Saccharomyces cerevisiae S288C: one gene and its partners. Changing the gene in region 3 together with the main gene of any one other region gives a genetic interaction. Each region holds a gene or a part of one and is shown on either strand. Other genes may lie near its edges.

Evidence for each region. Genes that interact genetically often act in the same process or in processes that back each other up.
Region 1: mutations in KIP3 (region 3) and SLK19 together harm fitness more than expected from each alone (negative genetic interaction), as found in Saccharomyces cerevisiae (4 studies listed by BioGRID, with this or other methods).
Region 2: mutations in KIP3 (region 3) and DYN3 together harm fitness more than expected from each alone (negative genetic interaction), as found in Saccharomyces cerevisiae (4 studies listed by BioGRID, with this or other methods).

Annotation. Positions count from the first base shown.
Region 1 is NC_001147.6:711,239-715,831, reverse strand, and holds SLK19 (Slk19p), read right to left. Parts: upstream 2,967-4,593; coding exon 501-2,966; downstream 1-500. Other genes in the region: LIP5 (lipoate synthase), read left to right, coding at 1-239; TOA1 (transcription initiation factor IIA large subunit), read left to right, coding at 3,289-4,149; PEX27 (Pex27p), read right to left, coding at 4,256-4,593. UniProt on the Saccharomyces cerevisiae protein: Has a role in spindle assembly and stability. Required to ensure a timely exit form mitosis. Essential to maintain pre-anaphase spindle polarity. Associates to the plus ends of the microtubules at the kinetochore and spindle midzone.
Region 2 is NC_001145.3:863,912-867,036, forward strand, and holds DYN3 (dynein light intermediate chain), read right to left. Parts: upstream 1,440-3,125; coding exon 501-1,439; downstream 1-500. Other genes in the region: sphingosine N-acyltransferase subunit LIP1, read left to right, coding at 1-360; ADE4 (amidophosphoribosyltransferase), read right to left, coding at 1,648-3,125. UniProt on the Saccharomyces cerevisiae protein: Component of the cytoplasmic dynein which acts as a motor for the intracellular retrograde motility of vesicles and organelles along microtubules. May play an important role in the proper orientation of the mitotic spindle into the budding daughter cell yeast.
Region 3 is NC_001139.9:83,354-89,562, reverse strand, and holds KIP3 (tubulin-dependent ATPase KIP3), read right to left. Parts: upstream 4,679-6,209; coding exon 2,261-4,678; downstream 1-2,260. Other genes in the region: CLG1 (Clg1p), read right to left, coding at 224-1,582; ERMES complex subunit MDM34, read left to right, coding at 5,306-6,209.

The DNA of each region.
Region 1 (4,593 bases), on a different chromosome or scaffold from region 3:
CTTTGAAGGATTTGCGCAATATTCAATGTGATGTTGTTACATTTGGTCAATATATGAGGCCAACCAAGAGACATATGAAAGTCGTAGAATATGTGAAACCCGAAAAGTTTGACTACTGGAAAGAGAGAGCTTTAGAGATGGGATTCTTGTATTGTGCATCTGGACCCCTAGTAAGATCGTCATATAAGGCTGGTGAAGCATTTATTGAGAACGTTTTGAAGAAAAGAAACATGAAATAATGCACACTGAAATCTAATAGTTGGAAGAAAACAATTATGGCATGGACCGCAATGTCTTTGCTTGCTGGATTATTTATTTATATCTTGTATTTTATTTATTTTTATGGTTAGTATGTTTTTGCATATTTATTTTTAACACAGAAAAGTTAGGAAACAATATCAAATATTCGATACGAATTTGTATATTTACGGTATATCCTTAATATTTTATTCTCATGACATATTAAGGGAAAAGATAAAATGCAAAAGAAAAAAATGCGTTTATTTTTTTTCATTTTCTAACAACTTGAGTAACTCCTGCTTTTCTTCTCTTTCTGAAGACAGCTGCTTGTTCAATTGCTCGATTTCTTCTGACAGAGTTTTATTTTCTAAATTTAATTGATCAAACTTATTTTGGTACTTGTTTTCATAGCCTTTTTTCAACAGTTTGACCTTTTGTTCGTGTTTGGATGAATACTGGATATACAAATCTTCTGCTAATAACTTTAGCCTTTTATTTGTATCTTTTTCTTTGGCCTCATACTTTTCTTTCCAATCTTGTACTTGTTTTCCTAATGATTTAATTTTTTCATCATCTCTATCCTTTTGATCATTGCTTAAAGTAACGCTATTATTGTTATTATTATTTTGTTCCATTAATACTTCATTTTCTTTTGTTAATGTTGTTATCCTGTCGGATGAAATCTTCAATTCATTTTGAAGAGAAATAAGGTTTTCATGAAGATTTTCCAATTCTTTGATGTGCTCAGCCTGAATGTTACTATTTTTTAGTTGTAAGCTTTCTAATTCTAGCGAAGTTTTTTCGAATTTTTGTTTCTCCAGTTCACACTCATTTTCTAGTTTATGAACTTTGTTTTCTAGTTCCGTAATTGTTTCTTCCAAATGCAATTTTGATTCCTTTAGATCTTCAATATCTCCGTTCAACTCTGTAACTTCGGCATTGCGTATCTTAGCTTCGTCTTCGACAGTTTCGTATTTACTTTGCCACATCTTAAATTCATCATCTTTTGAAGTGATCTGTTTTTTTAGCTCGTCCATTTCACTATTCAATGAATCAATTTCAGCTTCTTTTAGTTTTAGCGTCTCCTCATTTTTAATTAATTTATCCTGTACTACCTTCAAATTATCGTCGTTCAGGTTATTCAAATCATCCATTTTTTGTTGCAAGTTGTTTTTTGTAGATATTAGCTCATTAATTTGTCCTATAAGGTCAGAGTCGTTGAAGTCCTTAGAAATCGATAAAGTTTCCTTCAAACTCAATTTTAAATTATCTAGTTCGTTCTCTTTAGATTTCAAAACAATATCTGTGCTTTCAATCTTATCATTCAGTTGCACAATGCGAGAATTCAAGTCATTTAACGTGGTCTCATATTCGGATAATTTATCATTATTGCCTTTCAATTCTGCTTTCATATTTTCCAGTTCTACATTTTTATCATTTAAAATTTTCTCATTTTGCTGCAAAGTGTTGACAGTATTTTCATGTTCGCCCTTTATATGATTTACTTCAGTAATTGAGGCATCGAATTTTTCTTGTAATATTTTTTGGTTGGAATTCAATACCTTAATTTCTGTATTCAACTCCTTAATCCTCTTTTTGAATTTTTCCACCTTGGCAATATCGCTCTCTCTTTCTGTATTTAGTTTATCTAACTTTTCATTTGTCAAATCTATTAGTAGTTGGTGATTTTTGTTCAATTTCTCGTATTGAAAAGACAATGATTCATTTTTGGAAATCAAAGAGTTTAACATTTGATTTAAGTGATATATCTGATCAGTGAGCTCCTCGTTTCTTTTTGCTACAATCTGAAAATTGTCATGTCTAATATCAAGTTGGTTGTCATCATCGTAGTCATTCCTCCCCTCTTCATTTGAGTTCGACTCCCTTGCAGAAGTCTCATACAAAGGAGTAAGCCTGTTTATATGAGAATTTGTTATATCATTTTCTTCGTCCTCCTTTTCCTTATAAGCATTGTCAATATTAACCACATTGTTACTGTTAGATTTTATGAAGTCTTCCTCTTGTTGTTTCTCATTTATATCATTTTCTAATTTAAGTGTGTCGGTATTGATATTGAAACTATCGTTTCTTTCAACTCCGTCGTTTATTATGAATTTATTTGGGCTTATGTTGGTCTCAATCATATCAATCGCCATTGGAGACGACATAATTTCTTCTTTGTCATTAATGATATCTTTAGTAGAGCTTTGTTTCAAATCAGGTACTGATTCTAACTGCAATTTCAATTTTTTATTAATATGGCTACCTTCTTTATCATTTTCATCTACGTCCACGTTTTTGTCGCTTCGTTTCTCTGAGGAGTTCATTTCAACTCTGATCGGTGAATAATTCAATGCAAGGACATGCTTATCACTAGTACTTGCGCCTCCTTTATCATCATTGGTACCTGAATCTGATTTTTTGTCATCAAACATTTTATTTATGTCTATATTCTCTAATGGATTGGCATTATTCTTGTTGTTAAGAGCTGATGACCTACCGTAATCAATCGAGCGGTCTAAATCCTGCTTCTCATCTTTCTCCTTCTCGAGCGGTTCATGAGGATGTATCACGAACTGGGAGGAACCAGGAGAGTTAAAGCTGGAATCCGGTTCGGAATTAAACGTGCGTGGGTTACGTTCTTGCGAACAGTTTTCTGAATTCTGCTCGCGTTGCTGAGCTTGCCCTAAAATAAGCCTAACTGGAGTGGTAGGAACTTCGTTCATGAATTACGATATGTGCTCAAAACCTTTTTTAACTGGGTGCCCCTTGACACCAATGATGCTCTTTTTAGTTAGTGTCCTTCAAATGAACCATTAAAGAGGAACTCATCGTACACTCTGAATTATAAATAAATAAATAAAGAATATAAATTAACGCGAAAAAAAGCTTCGTCAAGTATGATGTGAGACAGTTGAAGAAAAGATGAAGAAGCCAAATAACAAGGTGGATAAAGCCATACGGCATATTATCGGGGGCAAGCTCAAAGAAGAAAAGCGATAGTATCACACAAATCAAGGCCATACACAAGGGACATCGTTGGATATCATGTCGAATGCAGAGGCCAGCAGAGTGTACGAGATTATCGTAGAGTCTGTGGTAAATGAAGTAAGAGAGGACTTTGAAAATGCGGGTATCGATGAACAAACTTTACAAGACCTAAAAAATATTTGGCAAAAAAAGCTCACAGAGACGAAGGTAACTACTTTTTCATGGGACAATCAGTTCAATGAAGGAAATATCAATGGTGTACAGAACGACTTAAATTTCAATCTTGCTACCCCCGGCGTAAATTCTAGCGAGTTCAATATTAAGGAGGAGAATACCGGTAATGAAGGTCTAATTTTGCCAAATATCAATTCCAACAACAACATACCGCACTCTGGAGAGACCAATATTAATACGAATACGGTAGAAGCAACTAATAATTCAGGTGCTACCTTGAACACAAATACTAGTGGTAATACAAATGCGGACGTAACTAGCCAGCCTAAAATTGAAGTAAAACCGGAAATAGAACTTACTATTAATAATGCCAATATAACTACCGTCGAAAACATAGATGATGAAAGTGAGAAGAAAGACGACGAGGAAAAGGAGGAGGACGTGGAAAAAACCCGCAAGGAAAAGGAGCAGATAGAACAAGTAAAATTACAAGCGAAGAAGGAAAAAAGAAGTGCATTATTAGATACGGATGAGGTCGGTTCAGAACTAGATGATTCCGACGATGACTATCTAATTTCGGAGGGTGAAGAGGATGGGCCAGATGAGAACTTAATGCTGTGCTTATATGATAAAGTCACAAGAACAAAGGCGAGATGGAAATGTAGTCTGAAAGATGGTGTGGTGACCATCAATAGAAATGACTACACATTCCAAAAAGCTCAAGTGGAAGCGGAGTGGGTATAACTAAATCTTTAGACGTAAAGAAGAAAAAATGTATATATACAAGTACTATAATATCAAACTAAAAAAACGAAATAAAGAGGGATGCAACGAACTTGGTCATCTGTTGTCAAACAGCGCTTGTATGTTCATTAGCCGAAGTGACTTTGGCTCGGTTCCATAGCTTAAGGAGTTCAGTAACACCGGAACCTACTGAAATTATTTCGTAAGCTAGCTCTGAGTTATATTTGTCCCTTTTACCTTTAATATTAATTAGATTAGACAATAAGTTTAGTATTATCTTATAAAAATCCAATGTAATATTATTTTTCCGTAACTCCAAATTGACTTTGTCATTGGTAGGTAGTTTGTACTTTAACTCGTATTCCTTTATTGCATTACCACTGGTATTATAGATACTTAAATAAATTTCATCTCTTATTAGCTGTCGCCATTGTTCAATGTTTT
Region 2 (3,125 bases), on a different chromosome or scaffold from region 3:
TTGCTGATCGCTGCGGTTGAATACTTCAAGTATGGTACAAGAATTAACTATGAATGGTTCCATTGTACCCCAATCAAAGAACCCCAGTCTGGCTCAGTAATCAAGCTTTGGGCACGTGGTGGGCCAAGTTGTGACAAAAGAGGCGAATATAAAACTATAGTAAAGAGAATCACTAGAGATTATGAACCAAATGATGAACATCTCTCGTTCTGTATCATCGAGAATGATAATGTTCCACCCGTCCACTACCCAATTCACGAAGATAAAGGTGAACCTGGCTACGTAGCTTATGTCGGGTACGACACAGACTCTGAGCTGGTTCAAGAACTATGTGCTGATTCCACAATTTATCACATGTGAATTCTTTCTTTTACATACATAAACATAGAAGAAATCCAACCCTGATATAGGGATTTATAAATGCGTGTGCATATCTATATTTATACATATAAAGAGAAAAAAATTGCTCATGATAAAAGAAGTATCGCCTGCCCACTTTCCTAAATCCTCGAATTTTCCCTATATTTTGCGAACATTTTGCCTAATTCCTCTTGAATATTAACTTTGAAAACTTCTAAAGGATATAGTTTATCAAGGTCGATACCAGAGGTTGTTTTCCTATCTTCTCTGATTTTATCAATTGTTGGTATAAAGTCCATATATCGGGCCAAAAAGTGTTGCTCTTTCACCTCAGTAGGCTCAAATCTTTCGTCTACTGTTTTTATCAATCCAATAGAATCGCACCCCTTCGGTATTAATATCTCACTGCGTTTGACCATTTCAATATGATCTTTCATATCTCTATCTTCACAAAAATGCTTTAGAAGCTCTTGGTATTTAAGCCTTTGTGCTTCCTCTCGTTTCTCTTCGGTATGGTCTTCGCATATATAGAATAGTGAGCTATCATTAAAATAGCAAAACGATCTTAACGTTTGCAAAATGAAGTCAATATGTACTGACTGCCATACTGTAGTGTGTCTTTGTAAGTTTAATATTTCGCCACTGTTTAAGCACCATACAGAAAATTCATTATCGTCATTCAGTTGCTTAATTTTATTGAATGCGTAGGATAGTTCATTCAGCCACAACTTTTGGTCGTTCAGTGTCCAATCTAATAATATGAGCCAGCGAACCTTCGAACTATGTTCTTGTAAAAACGGCTTTAGAAGATCTAGTGCATCGTCAGTGTTTCTTATTAGCGTGTAAACATCGACAGAATAATTTTCCTTTAAGTCGTTGGTCCATCCTATGGTGGCGTAATTAATCAAAGTGGTATCCAGTATTGAATTGCTTCCCTCTGGAAAACAGATATTTATAAATTGATGCAGTGTTTTACTTGATGGGGAATATATGATTGCTGTTATCGTAGCAGTCTCTGTGCTGTTGATTGTGGATTCATTCTGAGACAATAATTTGTCCCAGGCATTACAATTATCCATTAATACATACAATTCTTTTATCTTCTTTTCTTTTTGTACAAGTTGCGGATTACTTCTCTTTGTTTACCTTTTTGCTTTTATTTTTTTTTTTAATACGTGCATATATATATATATATTTAGTTTAGGTCAGAATACAAAGATAATTATGTATAAATGGGCGCATTTGGAAACTATTTTACATACAACTGAACAAGTTCGGAACAATCTATCAATAATCTGCACAATTATATAATCCGATATCGACTTCAGCCTTCATATCTGATGAATTATTTGCGATCGATTCACGTTTTTCTTCCAATTCTTGAATATAACCGTCTTCAACACCAGTGACATAATTTCCGGTAAATACACCATCTTCGAATTTGGTTATTTTATCAGTTTTACAACAATCAATCAAATCTTCCAATGATTGGTAAATGACTCTTTCACAACCGATTACTTCCGCCACTTCTTCATCGGTTCTGTTATAAGCAATCAAGTTCTTTGTGTCTGTTAAGTCAATACCATAAATATGGTTGTAACGAATGGCTGGGGCAGCTGAAGCGAAGTAAACCTTTGTTGCACCGGATTCCTTGGCCATGTTAACAATCTCTTTTGAAGTAGTACCTCTGACAATAGAATCATCCACTATCAGAACCTTCTTACCCTTAAATTCAGACTCCATAGGGTTAAGCTTCCTCCTTACTGAAGAAACCCTTTCCCTCTGGTTTGGCATGATAAATGTCCTGCCCACGTATCTGTTTTTAACAAAGCCCTCTCTATAAGGCTTCCCTAACACATTAGCACATTCTAGTGCACATGTTCTTGCAGTATCTGGGACGGGAATAACAACATCAATATCTTCTGGCTTCAGTTGCTTTAGAATATTTTCCGCTAATTTAGAACCCATAGCCAATCTTGTGTGATAAACTGATATTCCATCCAAGACACTGTCCGGTCTGGCGAAATATACGTATTCAAATAAATCAGGTCTATAAGAGTTAATAGGAACCACTTGTTTGAACTCAGGTTCACCTTTGCTACAGTTCTTAGGGATGATAACTGCCTCGCCAGGCTTTAAGTCACGATATTTAGTAAAGTTGTGAGCTTTGAAAACAACACTTTCTGAAGCTAACATATAGTCCTTAGTGCCGTCCGGATTTTCTCTTTCACCGAACAATAATGGCCTAATACCATTTGGATCTCTGAAACCAAATAATGCAAAACCGGCAAGTAAACCAACGCAAGCATAACCGCCACGGCATAAACGGTAAACACCTTCTAACGCGTGGAAAACATCTTCATTGTTAACTCTGTACTTGTTATGTTTTTCCAGTTCAGCAGCAAAAATATTCAATAGTAACTCCGAATCACTGTCCGTGTTAATATGTCTATGAACGTCTTCATCCATATATCTCTTCAATGATGCAGTATTCACCAAGTTACCGTTATGTGCCAAGTTAATACCGTAAGGACTATTGACGTAAAATGGTTGCGCTTCTGAATTAGCCGAAGACCCGGCTGTAGGATATCTCAAGTGGGCAATACCCATGGAACCAGCAAGACCGGAAACACGTTGTTGGGTAAATACGTCACGAGCCATACCATTACCTTTACATTGGTAGATTCTACCACGAGAACCACAGGTAGCTATACCAGCTGCATCTTGTCCACGATGTTGTAGAAAAATGCATCCATCACATAACT
Region 3 (6,209 bases):
TTTCGTTTTTCAAAAATTTTGTTAGCTTCCGATTTTCATTTTAGGAAAATATGTTTCTAGATTTTTTTTTTTCAAATTTTTCAATTTTTTTATTATATCTGTTTCGAAATTCTGTTTTCTCATGAGAGAAAATAATAAAATGATAGATTAGAAAGATGATCCTGGGCAAAAGAGAAAGTAATTCGATGGGATCAAAGAAAAAATAAGGAAAAAAAAGTTTTCACTAATACACTGCCGAATACGGAAAGTAGTTTCGCTCAAATCTTGAATGATTTATTGTGTCATCCATTGACTTCCAGCCAAGATGATGACCGTAAGACTGATTATGGACGTGAGGGGGAGGTAATTGTGGAGCGGCAGGTAAAAGTGAGTGTTGTTTTTGTTGTTGCTGTTGTTGTTGACTACTGAAATTGTAGAAGTCGTAATCAAACTGAGTTTCCGAAATTGGTGAAGAATATATATTGGGGAATTGTTGATAGTAATTCAATCTTGGCTGATTATAGTTGTAATAGTTATAATAACCATTCATACTAGAAAATTCAGACCTTGAGTTACTCTGATAAGATGGTGATGAAAACATGTTATGCGGCATCAGCATGGGGGTTTCATAATTGGAAACTGGAGATAATAGGTTGTTTGTGGAAGTAGGCTTCAAGTTGAAATTTACGTTTCTCGTATCACCAACGTTGACAATTGGAGATAATAACGTAGGAACCGCTACAGCAGGTTTGAGTTGATTTTGCTTGAAAATCTCAAAATTCTTGACGAACTCAAAATAAAGAAAAGCACTATCATACAATTCCCAGTTAAATATTCTCAACCATTGTCTCTCGAAATCATTGATAACATTTATCAGTATTCCTGTTGCCTGTGACCATGAGTTATTGGTGAAAGTTTTGTCATCGTTGAACTTGTTTGCTAATATGAACGCAATCATAGTATTTTGATAAATGATATTGATCGAATTGCCACCAATTGAATGTATCCCATTAGATAATTTATTGATATACTTGAAAAGATAATCTATAGCCAAAAAAATAGTAGCTGAAGGCAATCTCGTGGCATTCAACACAGAAGATATGCCCTTGAAAAAAAGATCAGTGGTCTGGTCATCAGTACTATAGTTCGCGTTGAAGGCAACAAAGGCATTTTCCATGATAAATTTTGACATTATAGAAATATCGTAGTCCAAGTTCTCACTGACGCCCCCATTTACTTGGTTAGATTGTTGTGGTTGTTGTTGTCCATCCCGAATCATTTGAACAGGAGGAGGAATAACGTTGCTGTTATTGTTACTAGTGTACATTAGGCCCGGAGGGGGAAGGATAGGTGGTTGCTGGTGCTGTTGAAGTGGTGCAGGAGGAGCATAGTAAGTAGAACTTGGCTGATTGAAGTAACCTAAAGAAGCCATGGATGGCAACTGAGTATGAACTGATTGCGAGGGAACATGACCTAAATATTTAGGCAGTTGCCTAGCAACATTAACAGCAGAAGTAGCCGAACCTTTCGGAAAAGGCAAACTAATTGGATAACCACTAGAATTACCCATCGTTTCAGGATAATACTTGAAAGTATTAGCCATTTCTATATGAAGGGGGGTTTGTTGGGGGGAGGGGGGCTGAAGACGAATTAACTCAATAACTGTCTTAATAATGTTAAAGAAAAAAAAAATTCCTTGTAGTGTATAAGCTAAACGCTAATAAAGCTGGTTTAAATGTGTGAAACGAAGTCTCTTCGAATACTGTAAAATAACCCCACTGAATATACACAAACACACAGAAAAAGGATTAAAGTTAATAAAAAAAAACGACTCGAAGACTTAAAGGCAAACCTTCAAGTAATGCAGTCTCTGTAAAAACAACAGCAAACACAAATTTGCTAAATTTTGCTTAAAAGAGTCTCCTGAGAAACGTTTTCTTTTAATTTGGGTCAATAAAGGAAATTAACCCAGTAAAAGGCTTTAGAGAAAAAAAAAAGGAAGAAAAAACGAGAACGAGAATCTAGTATATGATCCTTGTGCGTTTTTCTTAAAAGATCAATGATTTGTGGTGCTTAGTTTCTTTTAGAATCTCTTAGAAAGTAGGTAATGTGTCTAATGACTAAAAGCAATTATTCACTTTGAACCTTTTCTCGTGCCAAATAAATTCAAAAAAAAGAAATTAAAGAAAAATTTTTCCCGTAACCCGGAATTAATCAACATAAATGCGTTTAATGCTGGCGGAAAGAAGTTATATTCGATAGTTTACGTAGGATATGTATGTTATTTCCTGGCAGTGGCCAGTAGACTTTGATGAGTAAGAAGGGAGGAGCGCATCTTCCTTCTTGGAACCGCTGTAGTCGGAGCGGAGGGGGTCGAGGGCCCCTGCTCATTGAATGTGGTATCTTGCATACTTACGTCCACTTCACTTGCAATGGCGTCTTGATCTTGGTGTAGTTCTGGTTCTAGCTCCGGTTGTGGTTCAATCATAGGGCTGGGACTAAGGTCGGGACTCGTCCACTTTACTTTTTTTTGGGAAAAATTTTGCCGTTGTAGGGTCTCAGCGGGAACAGCCAAGTCAGCTGCCGTCGTGTTTATTATATTTATATTTGTGTTTGTAAAATTGCTATCGGGATTGGCGATAAAAGTTCTGGCAAAAGATTCAAACTCCTCGTCGATATGAACCAGGTCTTGAATTATGGATTCAATGTTAGGTGTCCTATTCATCAGCCACTTTGATAGAAATTTAAATCGGGAGTTCAAACCCGGATCTGACATTAATTTTTCTGTCATTATGGAGGAATTAACCAAGATTTCGTTTCTTTGTAATTCTGATATTTGATTTAAACACGACTCCAAGTACACCAGGTCGTAAGTTTCATCCCAGTCCTCCATCTCTCTTAACTTGTTCAAGTCAATGGAATGTACCTGATGAATGACGGAACTCAGAGTGTCGGTTTCATCAAATTTCATTTCTAACTCGTGTATTTTGTTATAAAGCTGACCACTGATCATTCGGCAATTACTAATCACCGGCTGCATCTCGGCGGCTGTACTTTCCTCCCGTTCAAATAATAGTATCAAATTATCCACTTCTAGCTTGACCATTTGCAAAAACCGCCTTTTACAAAGTATTAATGATTTCAAGGTCTTGGCTACTTGATACGTTTCCACTCCTGCATACGTTTGCTGAACACGATTGACGCACTCGTTAATGGCTAACTGGATCTTTTCTTTGTTTAGTTTGTATTTCGTTAGCTTCAAAGAAATCATCTTCTCTTCACGTTCGCGTAACTCTTCGATTTGTCGCTTTTGTTCCGTAATCATTTTCAAATAAGATCCAACGTGTCTACTCAAAGACTGCTGATTTCTGATTATTTTGGTCTTTATTTCTTTAGCACGATTTGCATATTTCAAAGTATTCAATGTCTCATCATAATGTGAACTGCTGGGCGATATGCAAACAATCATGACTGTTTTGCAATTGCCACCCAGTGAAAATTTCAACAGCCTAGTTAACTTGGAATCCCTGTATGGAATATGACAGCTTCTGCTGCCATCATTCAAGCACAACGCGTTAATGCAATTGCCCAGTGCTAGTAGGGATCTATTTATATTCGCACCTTCGTGTAATCTTATACCACGGTTTCTTGTTGCGGCGGCTCTTTCGCTCCCAGCTAGATCGATTATTGAAAGTGTAGCAAATGTATGTTGCGAGGTCAAGTCTACAAGCTTATTTGTCTGCATGATGTGTATTTGCAGCACTGCATGAGATCGTGAAGATACTTCGTTTGCTTCCGTCGGTGACGTAGTCCTGTTTATGTTTCCCTGGACAACTAAGTCCATCACATCTTCTACCGTATTTGGGTGGTGATACGACAAATTCGCCACTTTGATGTGGTTCTGCGTATCTTCTCTAATGACCAATCTTTTAGATGGTGTCTCTGGTTTCAAAAGGTCTCTGATTCTTTCATTGTATATTTCCAAGTAAGACAGTGAAATCTCGAAGTCTTTTTCGTCCTTCAGGTCTGTAATTTTATTGAATAGTTCCTCCATGGCTAGAAATATGATCCCCGGCTGTGAAGGTGTGCCACTCACAGTATATGTCTTGCCACAACCAGTAGCACCGTAAGCAAATACGGTACTGTTGAATCCATCTAAAACAGAATCTAGGAGCGGGCTGGTGGTCTCTTTGTATACACGGGCTTGGGAAGAGGTTTCATCAAACAATTTATCAAATACAAACTTGATTTCGCCACCGTGCCTTCGACGTTGCGAAGAAAATTTGTTCGTAGCATTGCTGTTATTGATAGAGGACGCAGTGGCCTTAGTGGCCCTTGCACGCATCGAGTTCAGGACCTGATCACTCACTTTGTTCAATGGGTTTCTATCAGCTGGGTCGAATATGAGCATTCTATCATCCACACAATCCACAATTTTACGTATACCCTCCGGTCTAATTACTTTTCTCCTCAGCAAGCTATTTCTTTTGCTCCGCGTAGAACCTTCTTCAGCGTCTATGTCTATATCGGAGTCGGAGTTATTACTCATGGGTAATATTAACGACGAATCCCCCAAACCGGGAAAGTTAGCTTCTGCACCACTAGCTTCATTGACCAATCTTGTTTTTTCCATTGACGTAAAGGGCCTTACTCTTATAGCTACGACTATGGAGGATTGTCTTGTTTCAGGCACGTTCATGTTAGTGTCAATAGTATACAGCTGGAAAGAAAACTCAAGTAGTTAAAGAATGCAATGAAATGATAATCAGATAAACGATGCAATCAGGGAATATGAAAATTTTAATATAAAAAAAAAAAAAGAAAAATCAACAGCTTCGAAACACTGATCTGGACTTTTTTAACCTGCAGATATTTGTTACACGCAGATTATAAATTTTGTCTCTATAGGAACAGCTGAACACTATACTGGATACCGATGTTCTACCGACCAGACGTGAATGTATCTGGTCCTTTTGTATCCAAGGATAAGACAAACCAAACCCATACTAAAGTCATCAAACAAGGCATAATACAGGTAAAATAAACAAAACAAAAACTAAAAACACGGCTAGCTAAGGGAAAAAGTAGTAATGACCTAGGGTGAATAGCTTTTTTCAATTAGGTTTTTCCTTTTTTGTACTATATTAAATAGGGCTAAACTGTTTTAAGCATAGGGCAAAGAACTTATAAATTAGGTTTGAAAAAGGGCCATGAAGCCTTGTAGTAAAAAGAGACCAATTAGAAGAGTCATGGAAGATTCGTAAAACATAGAAACAGTAACAATTATAACAAAAAAAACACAACTGCAAGAAACTTCAGCATCGTCATGTCATTTAGATTCAACGAAGCTGTGTTTGGTGATAACTCTTTCAATGAACGAATACGGGAAAAGTTATCTACGGCTTTGAACTCACCGTCTAAAAAGAAATTAGATATCTTGAAAAGCGGAATTAAGGTACAGAAGGTGGATTTTCCTACAATACCACAGCTAGAAATTCTGGACCTAGACATTATCACGCAGCCCAAGTCTCTGGCCAAGGGGATTTGCAAGATTTCATGTAAGGATGCTATGTTGCGGATACAGACAGTCATAGAGTCGAATCTTTTATTGATTAACGAACAGGATACACCCAGCTTTACCATGCCCCAGCTCATCAATAATGGATCGTTCACAATTCCTATAACTATGACGTTCAGTTCCATCGAGCTAGAAGCCATCACGAATATTTTTGTAAAGAACCCTGGAATTGGGATATCCTTTAATGACGTTGATTTGGATTTTAAGTTTGATTGTTCTGTAAAAATTCTCCAAAGCACCATTGAGAGAAGGCTAAAAGAGTCCATGCATGTAGTGTTCAAGGATGTTCTTCCTTCTTTGATCTTCAACACGTCACAGAACTGGTTCACCAATCGCGGCGAGAGCACCAGTACCATCCCTGGTAAAAGAGAGCATCATCATCAACAAACTACAATGTCTAGGAATGTAATCTTGGACGGATCAGATTTTCAAGAGCTTTCTCCAATAAACATGCTACGTCTTTCAAGCATTGTGTCGTCGAGGTCAACACTGTCACTACATTCCACTGTGATGAATTCTCTTTCCGCTATACCTGGTTGCTTGGAAAGACAAAACTTGTACAGATTTATATCAAGGATGCCCTCTTTAAACAATTACTACTCTTCGCAATCATTTCCACAACCAAAGTCATCAACCGTATCATCAAAACAAT